Linked DNA regions of Elephas maximus indicus. The protein of the gene in region 2 purifies or fractionates together with the protein of the main gene of each other region. This does not show direct contact. Links are inferred from orthologs where the notes say so. Each region holds a gene or a part of one and is shown on either strand. Other genes may lie near its edges.

Region 1 (7,855 bases), on a different chromosome or scaffold from region 2:
CTAATCAGAGCAGACCTAAATAAGCTGGTGAGAACTACTCCAGCAAAACCATCTCTCAGGATCAGGCCAGAATAGTGTGGGTTTTCTGATGGGCGGAATAAATGAAGCAACATCAAACCAGTGCATTCCTTGGTTTTTCAGGTAGCATCACTTTAGAAAAAACAATTCCAGTAACACAAGTTTAGATTTAACCTGTCAGCAGTAACGTTTCAAAATAATTCCAGAACACTGAAACAATGCTTAACCTAATACAGCATTCAATTGCCCCCAAAACAGAATTTCACATTTTAAATGGCTTACCAAAAAACAGATGTATCATTTTGAGGTAAATTCTTTAGTTTTACTATACACAAAAAACCAAACCCATTGCCACTGAGCTGATTCCAACTTAAAACGACCTTAAAGGACAGAGTAGAACTGCCCCATAGTGTTTTCAAGGCTGTAAATCTTTATGGAAGCAGACTGCCACATCTTTCTCCCACAGACCAGCTGATAGGTTTGAACCGCTGACCTTTTGGTTAGCAGCCTAGTGCTGTAACCACTGTGACACCAGGGCTCATCTTATTATATGATCAAAAAAGTTTAAACTATCTTAGCACATTACCATTTTAACAGGTCACCTTTTAGGTTTTTTGGTTTTCACATAGTTCCAGCCAATATTTAAAAATGTAGTTAACACTGCAGAGATTTTTCATATTGCTGCACATTCTCTGTAATCTTATTTGGTATAATATAATCATGTTCAGTTACTTTTATATGTTTACGGTGACTTAACATGAACAGAGTCACTCCCTCCCCACCCCCCACCTCCCTTAAAAAAAAAAAAAAACAGAAAGGAAGAAAACAGGAACGAGATTACACTCTAGGGAGGAAACCTTTATCATTTAAGTGTGGGGATGCAGAATTGAGCTTTTTGCACCCTTCACCATGCTACAAAATTAACTATGAGACAACTGCCAAGTATTTCCTAAAACCTTTCAAGAAGCTCCAGTGGATTTCTGGATTTGTTCCTTTAAAATCAGGATACTCTGCCTTTGCTCAGGAGGCAGCATGGCAATCTGATCTGCAGTCAGTTGAAGAACCTGCATGATCAAAGCTGCTTTTTCTTGATCCTGTGGAGTTACCTGGCTCTGAGCAGAACTAAAATTGCTAGGTTGGCCTCCACCTTGCTTGCCTGCCCCCTGCATGCCTCCTCCTTGCATTCCCGTCCCCTGCATGCCTCCTCCTTGCATTCCTGTCCCCTGCATTCCCGCCCCCTGCATACCTGCTCCCTGCATGCCTCCTCCTTGCATTCCTGCCCCTTGCATGCCCGCTCCTTGTATGCCTGATCCCTGCATGCCAGCACCAGGATTTCCTACTCCTGAAATGCTTGGGACCTGTCTGGGTCCCTGAGGCCCACTTGCCCCCATACTAATGGGACCAGGACCCTGGAGGCCAGTGGTCATCGGGCCTCTCGAACTGGGGCCAGGGCCCCTTATCTCCATTCCTCTTGCATCCATGCCTCTAGCTTCCATCCCTCTGGCTTCCACTGTACAGGTCTCCATTCCTCTTCTCTCCATTACTCGTGCTTCTAAGACCTCAGTTTCCATGGCTCGAGTCTCCACCCCTCGAGAATCTCTGCTACCTCTACCATCCATGGGAAGACCTCTTTGATCCATCATGGGTACTCTGGGTTCTCCAATTAGCAGCCTGGGATCTGCTATTGGCCCACCCCTCATATCATGTGAGGAAGGGCCACGGCTGTCATGACCAGAGGCATGGTGCATGGGAGGACCCTGATGGGGTGGGCCCATGTAACCTCTGGGCTCTACTTCCCCAGTGACTGAAAGCAAAGTCCCTCCACGTGGGTCATTTGGAGCATCTCCTAACAGTCCTCGAGGAGGAAGGCCAGCAGCAGTCATGGGTCCACGAGGCATAGGTGCTCTGGGATCTGTCATTTGCACTTGAGCCCGCTCTAAAGGCACCGGGCCAACTCCTGGCATTCCAACTTGGGGCTGCATTCCTCCTCCAGGAGTTAAGGAACCAGGACCAGGACCGGGAATAGGAGCTGAGATCGGCCCTGGGGCTGGAATGCCACCTTGGATAGGTGTCTGCATCAGAGGAGGAATGTCCTTCACAGGTCTTCTAGCCAAATGCTGAGGTTGAGGGGCGGGAGGATTCTGCTGGTTCAACAGAACATTAGGGCCTGGGCAGAGGCCAGGGCCAGGGCCAGGGCCAGGGCCAGAGACAGACTGAGATTTGCCTGGGATAAGCGGCGTGACATGAATCTTACGATGCAGAATTTTCAGAGCAATCTCTGGATCCATTATTCTCATCACCACTTGTGCCTGCAACAGCGCGTAAGCCAGCTGTGGGTTTTGCAGCAGCATGTTTCGAGCTTCCTGGTGACTGTTTTGGACACAGAGCTTCATCTGCTTCATCAACTCAAACATCTGCTCCGGGGGGAGGCTGGCAACTGCTCTGGTTATTGATTCAGGGGCATCTTCCGGATCGATGGGGTCCCCATAGGGTGAGTCAATGATGGGCGCTGCAGGCCCTAGACTCTTTAACTCCTCCTTATTTTTTTCACTGGCAGCATTGTCCACCCGGAGCGCTCTCCCGCTGAACTCCCGCCCATTAAGGTTCCGCATGGCACTAAGCGCGGTCTCCTGGTCTTGATACTCGCAGAAACCATAACCCTTGGGTTTTCCCGTCTCTCTATCGTACACCAGCCGGAAACTGACAACGGAACCAACCTCAGAGAAAATGTCCTTTAACTGCTCCTCAGTTGCCTCATACGGAATGTTCCCCACGAACACGGAACGCAGTGATCGATCCATTGCCGGGTCTCTCACCACCAAACTCGACATGATGCCGGTTGTTCACACACAGGATAACCGATTCTTCTACGAGTCGTCCTCCTGCGACCTACACTTCCGGCGAGCAACGGAAATAGCTCTCAAAATCCGGGCAGAAACCTCACTGTGCACTTGAGGCGTTCCGCTTATTCATGGAAGCCGCGCCTCTGCGTTCCACTAATACAGCTAATGCCTTTCCGCCCCTGGTCCTTCGTGCTTCTGTCTACTTATTACTGAAACGCATGATTCCTTTCCCGTCTTTTATCCTGTAGATTGTCCATGGAGCCCCCCTCTTACCAGTATAGGCTTGGTGTGAGTTGACCACAGTAAAGATGGCCGCAGGGACTACGTTATGGTAACAGGGAGAGACCGCCTCCCTTGACGTCAAGGGTGGTTGTGTTTCCGTTGGACGGGCGGGGACCGCTAACCGAAAGCTGAATAAGGCAACGTGTGCTTCGTTTGGATGTAAATACGTTCTTGTAACCGTTGCTGCATACCGTAGGGTATTTAAATTATATATAAAAATCTCGTCTCAGATTACGAGGAAAAAGTGTAGTCGTTGCGAAGCACATTTGAGATTTGCCCCTTAGATTAAGTAATAGTTTCTTGGGAGGGGGGAGGGGAAGGAAAATAACTGCACGTAAATATAAGCCGAACTCGTGTGTCAGCTCTCCCCCTCCCCCATCCTGTTGCTTCAGGTAACGGCTGTTAACGGGTGACTTCCAGATTCTTCTCTTTGCACGCGGGCAGTGGTCATGCTATTCAGAGTTTTAAATATATGTATACACATATATATTAATTGACAGTATTAATGACTAATAAAATGTATTGCTGCAGAGTATTAATACATTCATGTAACTATTATATTGATAGGCATTTAGGTTGGTTTTAATTTTTTTATTGTTAAACTGATGCAATGAGTTCACAACCTCTACTGTGAAGGAGAAAACAGCTAATTTTGTAAGGAGTTTAGTTTTGTAAAGGAGCTGCTGGGACAGGGGTTCAGAGCTTGGCTGCGAACTGAAAGGTGGTAGTTCAAACCCATCTGTTGCCCTGTGGGAGGAAGATGTGGAAGTCTCCTCCATAACGATTTACAGCCTTGAAAACACTGTGGGGCAGTTCTGCCCTGTTCTATAGAGTGCTGTGAGTCAGAATAAACTCGGTGGCAAAGAGTTTGGGGTTTGGATTAGTTTTGCAGGCGGAAGTTGAAACACATTAAATGTGGGTTCCTGTCCCTATTTAAGAGACTATAAGACCGAATGTGGAAAAGGTTAAACTGAAACTTGGAAAAAAGGACTAGGTAAATTGTCCAAGGTCTGGAAGCCAGTAAAAGGCAATCGTCCTGAGCTGTTCTGTGCCATATAGTAGCAACTAGTTCACAGGGCTTTCGAGTACTTGAAATGTGGCTAGTGTGAGTGAGGAATTTAAGTTTTTAGCTTCTTTTTAATTAATGTGAAACTGATACTCCACTTGGCTGTTGGAAAACTTTTAAATATGTTTGGAACAACTTGGGTGTGTACTTTTACGTCGATAAATTTTATGAAATCTAAGTATAAATTAAGGATTTCTAATGAAAATTTAACGTTCTAATTGAGATGTGCTATCTGTGTAAAATACATGCAAGATTTTGAAGACTAAGTACAAAAAAATAAAAATATCTCACTAGTGATTTTAGAAGAAAGGATGGTGAGACTATGTCTCACATACTTTGGGCATGTTATCAGGAGGGATCAGTCCCAGGAGAAGACATCATGCTTGGTAAAGTAGAGGGTCAGCGAAAAAAGGAAGACCCTCAATGAGATGGATTGACACAGTGGCTCCAACAGTGGGTTTAAGCATAGCAACAATTGTGAGGATGGTGCAGGACCGGACAGTGTTTCCTTTTGTTGTGCATGGGGTTGCTGTGAGTCGGACCCGACTCTGTAGCACCTAACAGCAGGTGATTTTATATTGTTTTCATGTTGAAATAATGTCATTTTGATATATTGGGTAAAATGAAATATATTTTTATCAGTAGCATCACTCATTTTTTTTAAACATGCCTATTAGAAAGTTTAAAATTACTACATGGATTACATTATGTCTGTTGTAACCCGATGAGGGTGGGTTCTGCCCGGTGCAACCCCTTGAGTCAGTTGAGAGACACTAGGCCTTTGAGAAGAAAAAAGTAGGCTTTACCGCAAGCCAGTCAAGCATGGAACTTGGAGACTAAAGTCTCAAATTAATCTCCCCAAAGTTGGGAATTCTAGGGCAGTTATAGTGTTCAGGATAGGAAATTTATGCATAATTCACCAAGTTTTTGGGAATAGCTGGGCAATTTCAGGAACTAATGGGTGCAGTGGGGGGTGCAATATGGTGACTGGGGCCATGTGTTTTTGGAGGAGTGTGATGCATGAAGTTCATTTAAGAACAGCTTTGTGGCTTATTGCTCATGTCTGAATGGAGGGGTGGGGGACGGTTGGTGAGTAGTGTAATGGCCTTGAGCAGAGAAGCAATAAGATGACCTTGGGCTGTAACACAGAAATGTCTTATCAGGAACTCACGGGTTGGGGGGATTGGTGGGAGGAGGGGGAACAGTTTAACTCTGTCCCTTACATTATGGACAGCGCTGCTCCAGTAACCCAAGCCTTAACTGCGAGGCAGAGAAACACTTTATTCTAACTATGTCTTTTGGGAGAATTATGAAACTTTAAGTTTCAGCAGATATTGGGTCACATATCTGAATAGATCTGATGAGTATAATGGCATAACCACAAAACCAAGCAGCCATTTACCCCTCAAAGGCTCTGTTATTGTTAGTTACCTTGAGTAGTCTTTCATTCTTGCAGCCTTATGTATAACAGAAAAAAAATTTTAGTAGTTCTTTAAAACGAGTTTAGATACAGATATCCTCCCAAGACACAGGGCAACTTATATGGCAAGTACGGCTGAGAACCGGTGCCTTCTGGTTTGAACCTCTGGCTGAGAATTTGCAATTCTAACAAGTTCCCGGTTGATGCTAATATTGGTGGTTAGGGACCAACCCTGAGAAGCACTAGTAGAGCAGTGGTTCTCAAAGTTTATTATATGAAAGAATCACCTGGGGATCTTGTTAAACTGTAGATTCTGATTCAGTGTGCCTGGGGTAGAAATGCAAATTCTGAGCAAGAGCTCAAACCAGAACAAACTGGTTTGAAGCTCTGATTGCAAGTAATATGGGGTATTTATATAACCTAATGAATTTTTTTTTAATGAAAACTTCCTGTTTCTTTAGAGAAACAGAATAGCCACCTACTAGTAATGTTTTGTGTGTGTGTGTGTGTGTGCGTGTGCGTGTGTGTGCGCGCACATGCGCGATTTATTTGGGGGTGAGAGAGAGGAGAGGAAAGGGAGAGAATTGAGGATATCACTGAGGAAAACTTTAAAAAGGAGCCCGTTAGTCTCTTTTCCATACATCCCTTTACAAAGAGAAGCCATGCCTTTTTACCCACATTCTATCAAGGAATTTAGACATTGGTTGTGTGGGTGACTGATTATGTGTATTGAATGTAGGAATCAAGGGGATGGTAAGAGGGTATCAGAGTAAACTGGTTGTATAGTTGATAGAAGGTTGTGTACCTCAGTCTAATAGTGAATTTTCTTTCTTTCTTTCCTTTTTTTTTTTTTTTTTTTACTGCTGATGATACCAAGAAACCAAAACAAACCTGTTTCCATTGGGTTGATTCCAACTCATAGTGAGCCTGTAGGAGAGAGTAGAGCTGCCCCAGAGGGTTTCCAAGGAGCCGCTGGTGGATTTGAACTGCCAACCTTTCTGTTTATAGCCCAGTTCTTAACAACTGCCCCACCAGGGCTCCGCTGCTGCTGCTGATAGTATCTAAACCAGTGGTTCTGACACTTGTGCATTTATCAGAATCACCTGGAACCAGGATTTGTAAAATCAGATTGACGGGCCTCACTCCATTCCTTCCCAGTTTCTGATTCAGAAGGTCTGGAATGGGGCTGGGGAATTTACATTTCTAACAAGTTCTCAGGTGATACTAATGCTGGCAGGTCTTGGAACCACAGTTTAAGAACCACTGGTCCAAACAAAGAACTTGAAGTGTTTTTCTTCATTCTCATCAAACCAAACTAAATTTAGTATGCTCCACTAAAAGATATGAGGTCTGGGTGCTTTTTTTTTCAATCCATTAATTTGTTATGCTCGTGTAGTATAGCTGGGACATGCTGATCTCACACTGAAGATACCCTAGCTTCAAAAGATGGGTGAACACAGAGTAGCTGAGGAACTCGGGAAACAGGCAAACATAAGAGTTTGCTTTTTGTTACAGAATTTCCATGTACTCTTTAGTCCCCCTCTTCCTAACTAGAAGAACGGTGAGTGATGCTTTGATATGGCCCTTTCATAGAAGGCCAGTGTGACTTAGTACATATCTGAATGCCTGGAACACGTAAACTAATATATTATTAACTGAGAGGCCCAGAATCACCAAGAGCTCTTAAAAACCTGTGTGCATTTCCTGGTGTCAATACACACTTTTCATAGGTCTATCTTGGAAAAACATCCATTTTATATTCCTTTTTTCTATGCATGGTATATATTCTGAAGAAAACATGCAAGGCATTTTGCATGCCCAGATGTCTATTCTTTTAATAGACCAAGATATCAAATACCCTAAGATTGATATTTTTATAATTTTTATTGTGCTTTAAGTGAACGTTTACAAATCAAGTCAGTCTCTCACACAAAAACCCATATACGCCTTGCTACACACTCCCAATTACTCTCCCCCTAATGAGAGAGTAAAAAAAAAAAAAAAAAAAAGTTTTTTTTTTTTTAAATGAGACAGCCTGCTCTCTCTCTCCACTCTTTCTTTTTGTGTCCATTTCGCCAGCTTCTAACCCCCTCCACCCTCTCATCTCCCTTCCAGCCAGGAGATGCCAACATAGTTTCAAGTGTCCACCTGATCCAAGAAGCTCACTCCTCACCAGCATCCCTCTCCAACCCATTGTCCAGTCCAATCCATGTCTGAAGAGTTGGC
Region 2 (7,644 bases):
GTTTTCAAGGTTCATCCATGTGGCAGCGTATCAGTACTTCTTTTACTTGCCAAAAACATTCAATTGCATGACTATACCACTTTTGTTTATCCATTCATCAGTTGATGAGCCCTTGGGTTGTCTCCATTTTCTATTATGAATAAGCTGCTGTGAACATTTGTGTACAAGTTTTTGTGTGGATGTATGTTTTCATTTCTCTAGTTGCATCATAAACCCAACCCATTGCCATTGAGCCGATTCCGACTCACAGCAACATACTCATAGCATCATACAACTGCTAAAGTATCCTAGGAATGGGATTACTGGGTCATATGTTTTTAACCTTTTGAAGAACTGCCAGACTGCTTTCCAAAGCAGCTGCACCATTTTACAATCCCATCAGCAGTATATGAGAGCTTCATTTCTCTACAGTGTCACCAACAACTGTTACAATGTTTTTACTGAAGCCATCCGTGTGGGTATAAAGTGGTGTTTCCTCCACTTTTAAACATAAATATTCTTTAGAGGCTCTTTTTTAAAGAAACCCTCTAACTCCACTCTCATTATACAACACTAAGGTATCTGGGAAGAGTAGTCCGCGTATCTATGCACTTGTATGTTTGAGTTGTTCTGAAATTTAGATTAAGTTCCTGGCTCTTTGTATATGTTCTGTACACGATACTCATACCCTTCTAGTAACCAGGGAGAATCTCACATATTAGTTCATCTCATTTTGAATCCAAATAAATATAAACCAGATTGAAATTATAACCAAAGTGCATCATACAATCAAAAATGATAATGAACTGTAAAAGCAGTAATCTTTTGGTTCCCTTATTTAACATTTTTTTAAAATCAGGTTTATAATCTTTCTTAGTAGACTTATGGTTACACTATATAGGACACCATTGTTGTTGTTTGTTAGCTGCCATCCAGTTGATTCTGCGTCATGGGGTAGAACTGCTCCATAAGGTTTTCAGGGCTGTGACCTTTCGGAAGCAGATCACCAGGCCTGTCTTCCGAGACACCTTTGCGTGGGTTCAAATCACAAACCTTTCAGCCAATAATCAAGCATATAACCATTTGCGCCACCCAGGGACTCCCCTATAAAACACCATATAGCTCCTGAGGAATAAAAAGTTACTAGTGAAAAGTTACAAACCCTAACCTGAAGAACTGCTCCCTTAACTGCTAACAAACAGAAGTGGTATGAGATTAGGTCCTGAAATAAGAATAAACCCGTAAGGATTCAATGTCTTCTGAACTTTAGTCCAACTATTGTAATCACATCAATTATTAAAATGAAATAATTCTGACAATTCCACTGCCAGAACCACGGCATCACACAACTGCTCAAGTAACAACAGGATATTTCACTAACCTGGCATTTTCTTCTTCTGGCCTTTCAACTTCATTTTCATCTACAAAAAAAAAAAATAGTAATAAATAAATAAGCAAGCCACTCTTAAAGGAACTAGTATTATGAAAATCTGAAGTGATCATCACAAGCACTAACCTAGGTCCTTTGCCATATCACTGTGCACATGCACGTCCCATGGGCCTATAAGCACATCCAAAGTTAGATCACCTTATAATCATTTAACAGATAAGTCTCTAATGGAAAAAAAAAATCACCTTACTTCTATAAAAATAAGCTTTGTTTAAGAAGTATTGAAGCTATCCAGATAGTCTACAAAAGAAACCCTACACGTTCCCGTTTCAGACAATACTAGGTTGAATGCTAAATCTTTTGACCAAAGATAAGGAATTTATTTTACAACTGTTATCAAAAGTTTATCCAAGTCACATCAGCACTAAACAGCATGGTACACAAACGTGCACTTTTACTGCACACTCCTAAAGCTAATCAAGAATTTAAATTTTAGGCAAAGAATAAACAATAATTTTCAAAACTGGTGTCGGTAACAGCTGAGAAGAAACTGTTACTTAAAGTTAAAAAAAAAAAAAGTCAAGCCCTTTTGAAGAGGGAACCACAAGACGCATTAAATTTGAGAAAACTACGAAATGATATTGACAACTATTATCCTAAGGGACCTGAGGTACTTCTATGATAAGGGTTAAAGAGCAATCTCTTTTTAAAAAAAAAACACAAAAACAAAAAACACTTCACCTTAACGCAGGGATTTTTCAGGGTTTTCTTTAAGGGCCATAACATGTAATCCATCTCTCTCTTTTTAAGTTATTTTTAAAGCACGACTTTCAGACAAAGAGGTACCCTTGCAGGTGCATTCCATACAAACTGACCATTAAGAAACAAGACGTTAGTTTTGCAGCATTAACTTTATTGAGCTATTATTACAGAATGACTTTCTAAAACAAGGGACGGGAATGGTATCCCACAACCAAGGGGCCAGAAGGGACAAACCAATACACCTCAGAATCGATATGAAACACTGGTGTAAAGAGCGCGGAGGCCAGACGGCGGAGCAGTCTCGGTGCAGAGGCGCGCAAAGCTCCACCGCACGGGCCCCGACCCGCAGCTGCTGGCTTCGGAGGGCCCGGTAGCCAGCGGCTGCAGGGTGAGTGCCTGCTGGGGTCCTGGGCTGGGCTGGGCGGGCTGCAGGCCAAGGAGAAGGGAAGCAGGGGGTAGGGTGGCGCGCAACATGGTAGGCCTAAACTCAGGCCCAAGCCTGAGGACCCGGGACGCCGGCTGTTTGCGGGCCGGGAAGGGAGGCCTGAGATAAACCCCGGAGAAAGAGACAGGGACAGGAAGTTCCGTACCGCCATAGAGCCACTCTTCTTCCTCATCCCCTCCGGTCCCGCCGCTCAGCTCCGACACTAGGCGCTCGACCTCGCCGGCCGACATGGCCGCCCCGAGCACAACTTAAAGGCGGCGATCAACAGCCCCTCAAACCCCTTCCCCAGCCTCGCTGCTTAGGGGCGCGAGAGGGGCGCGAACCCCGCAGAGACAGGACGAAGAAAGCGCGCGACTTAAATCCAGGAAAGGCAGCACAGGCGGCAAACATGAAGACCCCTGCGCAGGTTCGTCTGCGCACGCGCACCAGTACCCGAGCGGTACGGCGTCTCTAGATGGCTTCGCTTCCGCGGCGGCGGCCACCTGAACCTGGTTGCGCATGCGCCGGCGGTTGCCCCGCCCCTATGGAATGCCGCTTTCCTGTTGAGTTTAGTCTTGCGTGTGCTTGTGTTCGCTTGCACAGGTGTTGCTTGTAATAGTCCGTATTGCGTTTGCCAGCAAGTACACCATTGTTCCCTTTTTTTTTTTTACCCTTGATGCTTTGTCTTCCCAAACATTTTTTTTTAATCTTAAGAAAGGCTTTTTTTATCCTTTACAAATTATATCAGCCTTGTTAGAAAATTGCTACTCTAGTCCCGTTTCTCAGAGATGATAATTCATTCCACTTTTTAAAAAATACTAATTTTAGCGGCAAACATTAATATGAATAATACATTCCCTTTGTTGAACAGAGGTGCACGCGCACACACACACATGCACACGCACACACACACAAAACAACCTTAAGGTTAAGGTTTGAGCACTTTCATCCACTACCCCCCTTACTAGAGTAACCACTGATATACACCATTGTGAAATATTCTTTGCTTCACACATACAGTTTTGGCGGGGCTACCTGGGGTTGGCTGGTGTCATGGATTGCATTGTATCCCCCCAAAATAACTGTCAACTTGTCTAGGCCAAGATTCCCAGTATTGTGTGATTGTCCACCATTTTGTCATCTAATGTGATTTTCTTATGTGCTGTAAATCTTATCTGTATGATGTTAATGAGATGGGATAAGCAGTAGGTAAATGCTAATGAGGCAGGACTCAGTCTAAAAGATTAGGTTGTGTCTTAAACCAATCTTTTTTGAGGTGTAAAAGAAAGAAGTGAGCAGAGAGACATCAGGACCTCATACCACCAAGAAAGAAGCAGTGGGAGCATAGCATGTCCTTTGGACCTGGGGTCCCTGCGCTGAGAAGCTCCTTGGCTGGGGAAGATTAATGACAAGGACCTTCCCCTAGAGCCAACAGAAAAAGAAAGCCTTCCTCTAGAGCTGACATCCTGAATGTGTACTTCTAGCCTCCCAGACTATGAGAAAATAAATTTCTCTTTGTTAAAGCTATCCACTTCTGGTATTTCGGAAACCCTGGTAGTGTAGTGGTTAAGTGCCATGGCTGATAACCAAAGGGTCAGCAGTTCGAATCTGCCGGGCACTCCTTGGAAACTCTATGGGGCGGTTCTACTCTGTGCTATAGGGTCACTATGAGTCGGAATTGACTCGACGGAAGTGGGTTTGGTTTTCGTGGTATTTCTGTGATAGCAGCACTAGATGACTAAGACAGCTGGTCTTAGTATAGTATTGTATGTTATTCTGTGACTGACTTTTTTTTTTTTTTAACTCAGCAATGTCTTAGAGATCTTTCCCATGTTAGTATATATAGAACTATGTCCATTTTTAAATGTTTTATAATATTACTTGGACACCTGGTGGCTTAACTGGTTAAGTGCTACGGCTGCTAACCAAGAGGTCGGCAGTGAGAATCCGCAAGGCACTCCTTGGAAACTCTGTGGGGTAGTTCTACTCTGTCCTATAGTGTTGCTCTGAGTCGGAATCGACTTGATGGCAGTGGGGTTTTTATGGGTATCACAATGTGACTATAGCTGTACCCATATTGATAAACTTCCAACTTTTAATTTTTACCACAAAAAAATTACGATGAAGATCCTTGTAAATGACCTTTTGCAGATTTTTACAAGTGTTTCTCCAAGATAGATCATGAAATATGTGATTTCAGTTTAATACAAATAATAAAAATTAAATGGTTTGTATTTTAATAAATAACACCAAATTTTCAGGCCACTTTTGAGAACGTATTTTCCAAGGAAAAAACAAAACTAGGGTCATGGTTCTTAACTATGATTAGCTAGTTGCATGACCTAGTATAGTCAAACTATGTTTCAGTTTTTGCAGCTATAAAATAAGAAAACTGAATAAGATGATCTCTAAGATCCCCTTGGGAAGAAAGGCCTAGCCATCTACTTCAAAAATCAGCCAATTAATACTCTATGGATCTCAATATTCTGATCAACAACCAATCATGGAGATGGTGCAGGAAAGGGCGGCTTTCATTTCCTTGTGCATGGAGTCACCCTGTGTCTGTGAGGGGTGGGAGGTGGGGAATACTTGATGGCAGCTAACAACAACAAAGTCCCTTTCTGTTCTAAAGTTTCCAAACGGAACACTCACTTTTGAGCAGAAGGATATCCGTTTTAGTGTTACAAATTTAGCAACGGGCTTTCTTTCTCTCTAATCAATAAATACTGTTCTTTTATTTATTTATTTGTTACTGAATATCTGCAGTATTTAATAATTTGAAAATTACAGACATGATCCTTAAAAAGCTTTCAGTTTATTGAGAAAGAAGGGTGGGAAATAATTAGCACACCTACAAGGGAAAAGGCAGATGGGCCATATTAGAAGTACAAGTGAAGTGTTTTTACTCCATGAAAACCACACCATTTCATGTTATTTAAACAAACCATGTGGTTTAAATCCCCCCTACATGGGGGGTTGCCATGAGTCTAAATCAACTGGACGGCAACAACAAAACAAACTTTGAATACTCCTCTACCTGCTATTCCCAGTCTCCCTTATCCATTTAGGATAATCTCTTGCATCCTTCTAAATTCTGTTGTGGTATAATGCCCTTTGTGAAATCTTTCATGAATTCTCTTTCATCTCCTCTCATTTATTTATTTATTCAATATATATTTTTAGAGTCTACCAAGTGCCAGATACTATTCTAGGTTCTGTAGATTCAGTAGTTAGTAAAACAAAGTTATTTTTTTCATGGAGCCTTCATTCTAACAAGGGAGACAGATGATAAACATGTACAGTCATAACACCTGCAGTGGTGGGAAGGATTAGGAAGAGTAAGCAGGATAAGGGGACCCAGTTGTTGTTGTTAGGTGTTATCAAGTCAGTTCTGACTCATACCCACCCTATGTACAACAGAAGGAAACACTGCCCAGTCAGTCCAGCCCCATTGTCACAATCATTGTTATGTTTGAGCCGACTGTTGCAGCCACTGTGTCAATCCATCTCATCGAGGGTCTTCTTTTTCGCCGACCCTCTACTTTATCAAGCATGATGTCCTTCTGCAGAGACTGATCCCTCCGATAACATGTCTGTCATGGATTGAATTGTGTCCCCCCAAAATGTGTGTCAACTTGGTTTGGCCATGATTCCCAGTATTGTGTGGTTGTCCTCCATTTTGTGATTATAGTTTTATGTTAAAGAGGATTAGGGTGGGATTGTAACACCCTTACCAGGCCACATCCCTGATCTAGAGCAAAGGGAGTTTCTCTGGAGTGTGGCCTGCACCACCTTTTATCTTACAAGAGGTAAAAAGAAAGGGAAGCAAGCAGAGAGTGGGGACCTCATACCACCAGGAAATCATCACCGGGAGCAGAGCACATCCCTTGGACCCAGGGTCCCTGCACCTGAGAAGTTCCTCAACCAGGGGAAGATTGAGGACAAGAACCTTCTTCCAGAGCCAACAAAGAGAGGAGGGCTTCCCGTGGAGCCGACGCCCTGAATTTGGACTTCTAGCCTACATACTTTGGACGTGTTGTTAGGAGGGATCAGTCCCTGGGGAAGGTCATCTGTGGTACATAGGGTCGCTATGAGTCTGAACCGACTTGACGGCACCTAACAACAACAACCTACTAGACTGCGAGAAAATAGATTTCCCTTTGTTAAAGCCATCCACTTGTGGTATTTCTGTTATAGCGCACTAGATAGCCAAGACAGTCTCCAAAGTTTGAGAGACATAGCTTCGCCATCCTTGCTTCTAAGAACATTCCAGCTGTACTTCTTCCAGACAAATTTGTCTGTTCTTTTAGCAGTTCGTGGTACATTCAATATTCTTCTCCAACATCACAATTCAAAGGCATCAACTCTTCTTCCATCTTCCTTATTCATCATTCAGCTTTTGTGTGTATATGAAGCGATTGAAAACACCATGCCTTGGGTCAGGCACACCTTAGTCTTCAAGGTGATATCATTTCTTTTCAACACTTTAGAGAGGTCTTTTGGAGCAAATTTTCCCAGTGCAATGGATTTGGTTTCTTGATTCCTGCTTCCATGGTTGTTGATTGTGGATCCAAGCAAAATGAAATCCTTGACAACTTCAATCTTTCCTCCATTTATCATGATGTTGCTTATTGGTCCAGTTGTGAGGATTTTTGTTTTCTTTATGTTGAGCTATAATCCATACTGAAGGCTGTGGTCTTTGATCTTCATCAGTAAGTGCTTCTGGGGACCCAGAGTAGAGTGATAAAGAGGAATGGGATGCAATTTTATATGAAATGGTCAGGGAAAGCCAATCTCATAAGGTGATATAAGAGAGCTGAATGGACCAAGGACATAATCCCTGTGGGTTTCTAGATGCATAGACTATCAGATAGAGGGAGTAAGAAATGCGAAGACTCTGAGGCGGAAGCACTATTGGCATGTTCAAAACCAAACCAAACCAAACCAAACTTGTTGCCATGGAGTCAATTCTGTAGTGACCATACAGGACAGAGAAGGACTGCCCCATAGGGTTTCCAAGGCTGTAAATCTTTTACGGAAGCGGACTGCTGCATTTTTCTCCCGCAGCTGATGAGTTCAAACCACCAAC

What was found. The genes of interacting proteins can lie anywhere in the genome.
Region 1: the proteins of FIP1L1 (region 2) and CSTF2T purify together in Homo sapiens (co-immunoprecipitation; 3 studies listed by BioGRID and IntAct, with this or other methods). This does not show direct contact. The link is inferred for Elephas maximus indicus from reciprocal best matches to the Homo sapiens genes FIP1L1 and CSTF2T.

What each region holds. Positions count from the first base shown.
Region 1 is NC_064834.1:36,488,855-36,496,709, reverse strand, and holds the start of CSTF2T (cleavage stimulation factor subunit 2 tau variant), read right to left. Parts: upstream 3,009-7,855; 5' UTR 2,850-3,008; coding exon 978-2,849; 3' UTR 1-977. UniProt on the Homo sapiens protein: May play a significant role in AAUAAA-independent mRNA polyadenylation in germ cells. Directly involved in the binding to pre-mRNAs.
Region 2 is NC_064823.1:108,330,155-108,337,798, forward strand, and holds the start of FIP1L1 (pre-mRNA 3'-end-processing factor FIP1), read right to left. Parts: upstream 3,005-7,644; 5' UTR 2,807-3,004; coding exon 2,722-2,806; intron 1,541-2,721; coding exon 1,496-1,540; intron 1,401-1,495; coding exon 1,361-1,400; intron 1-1,360.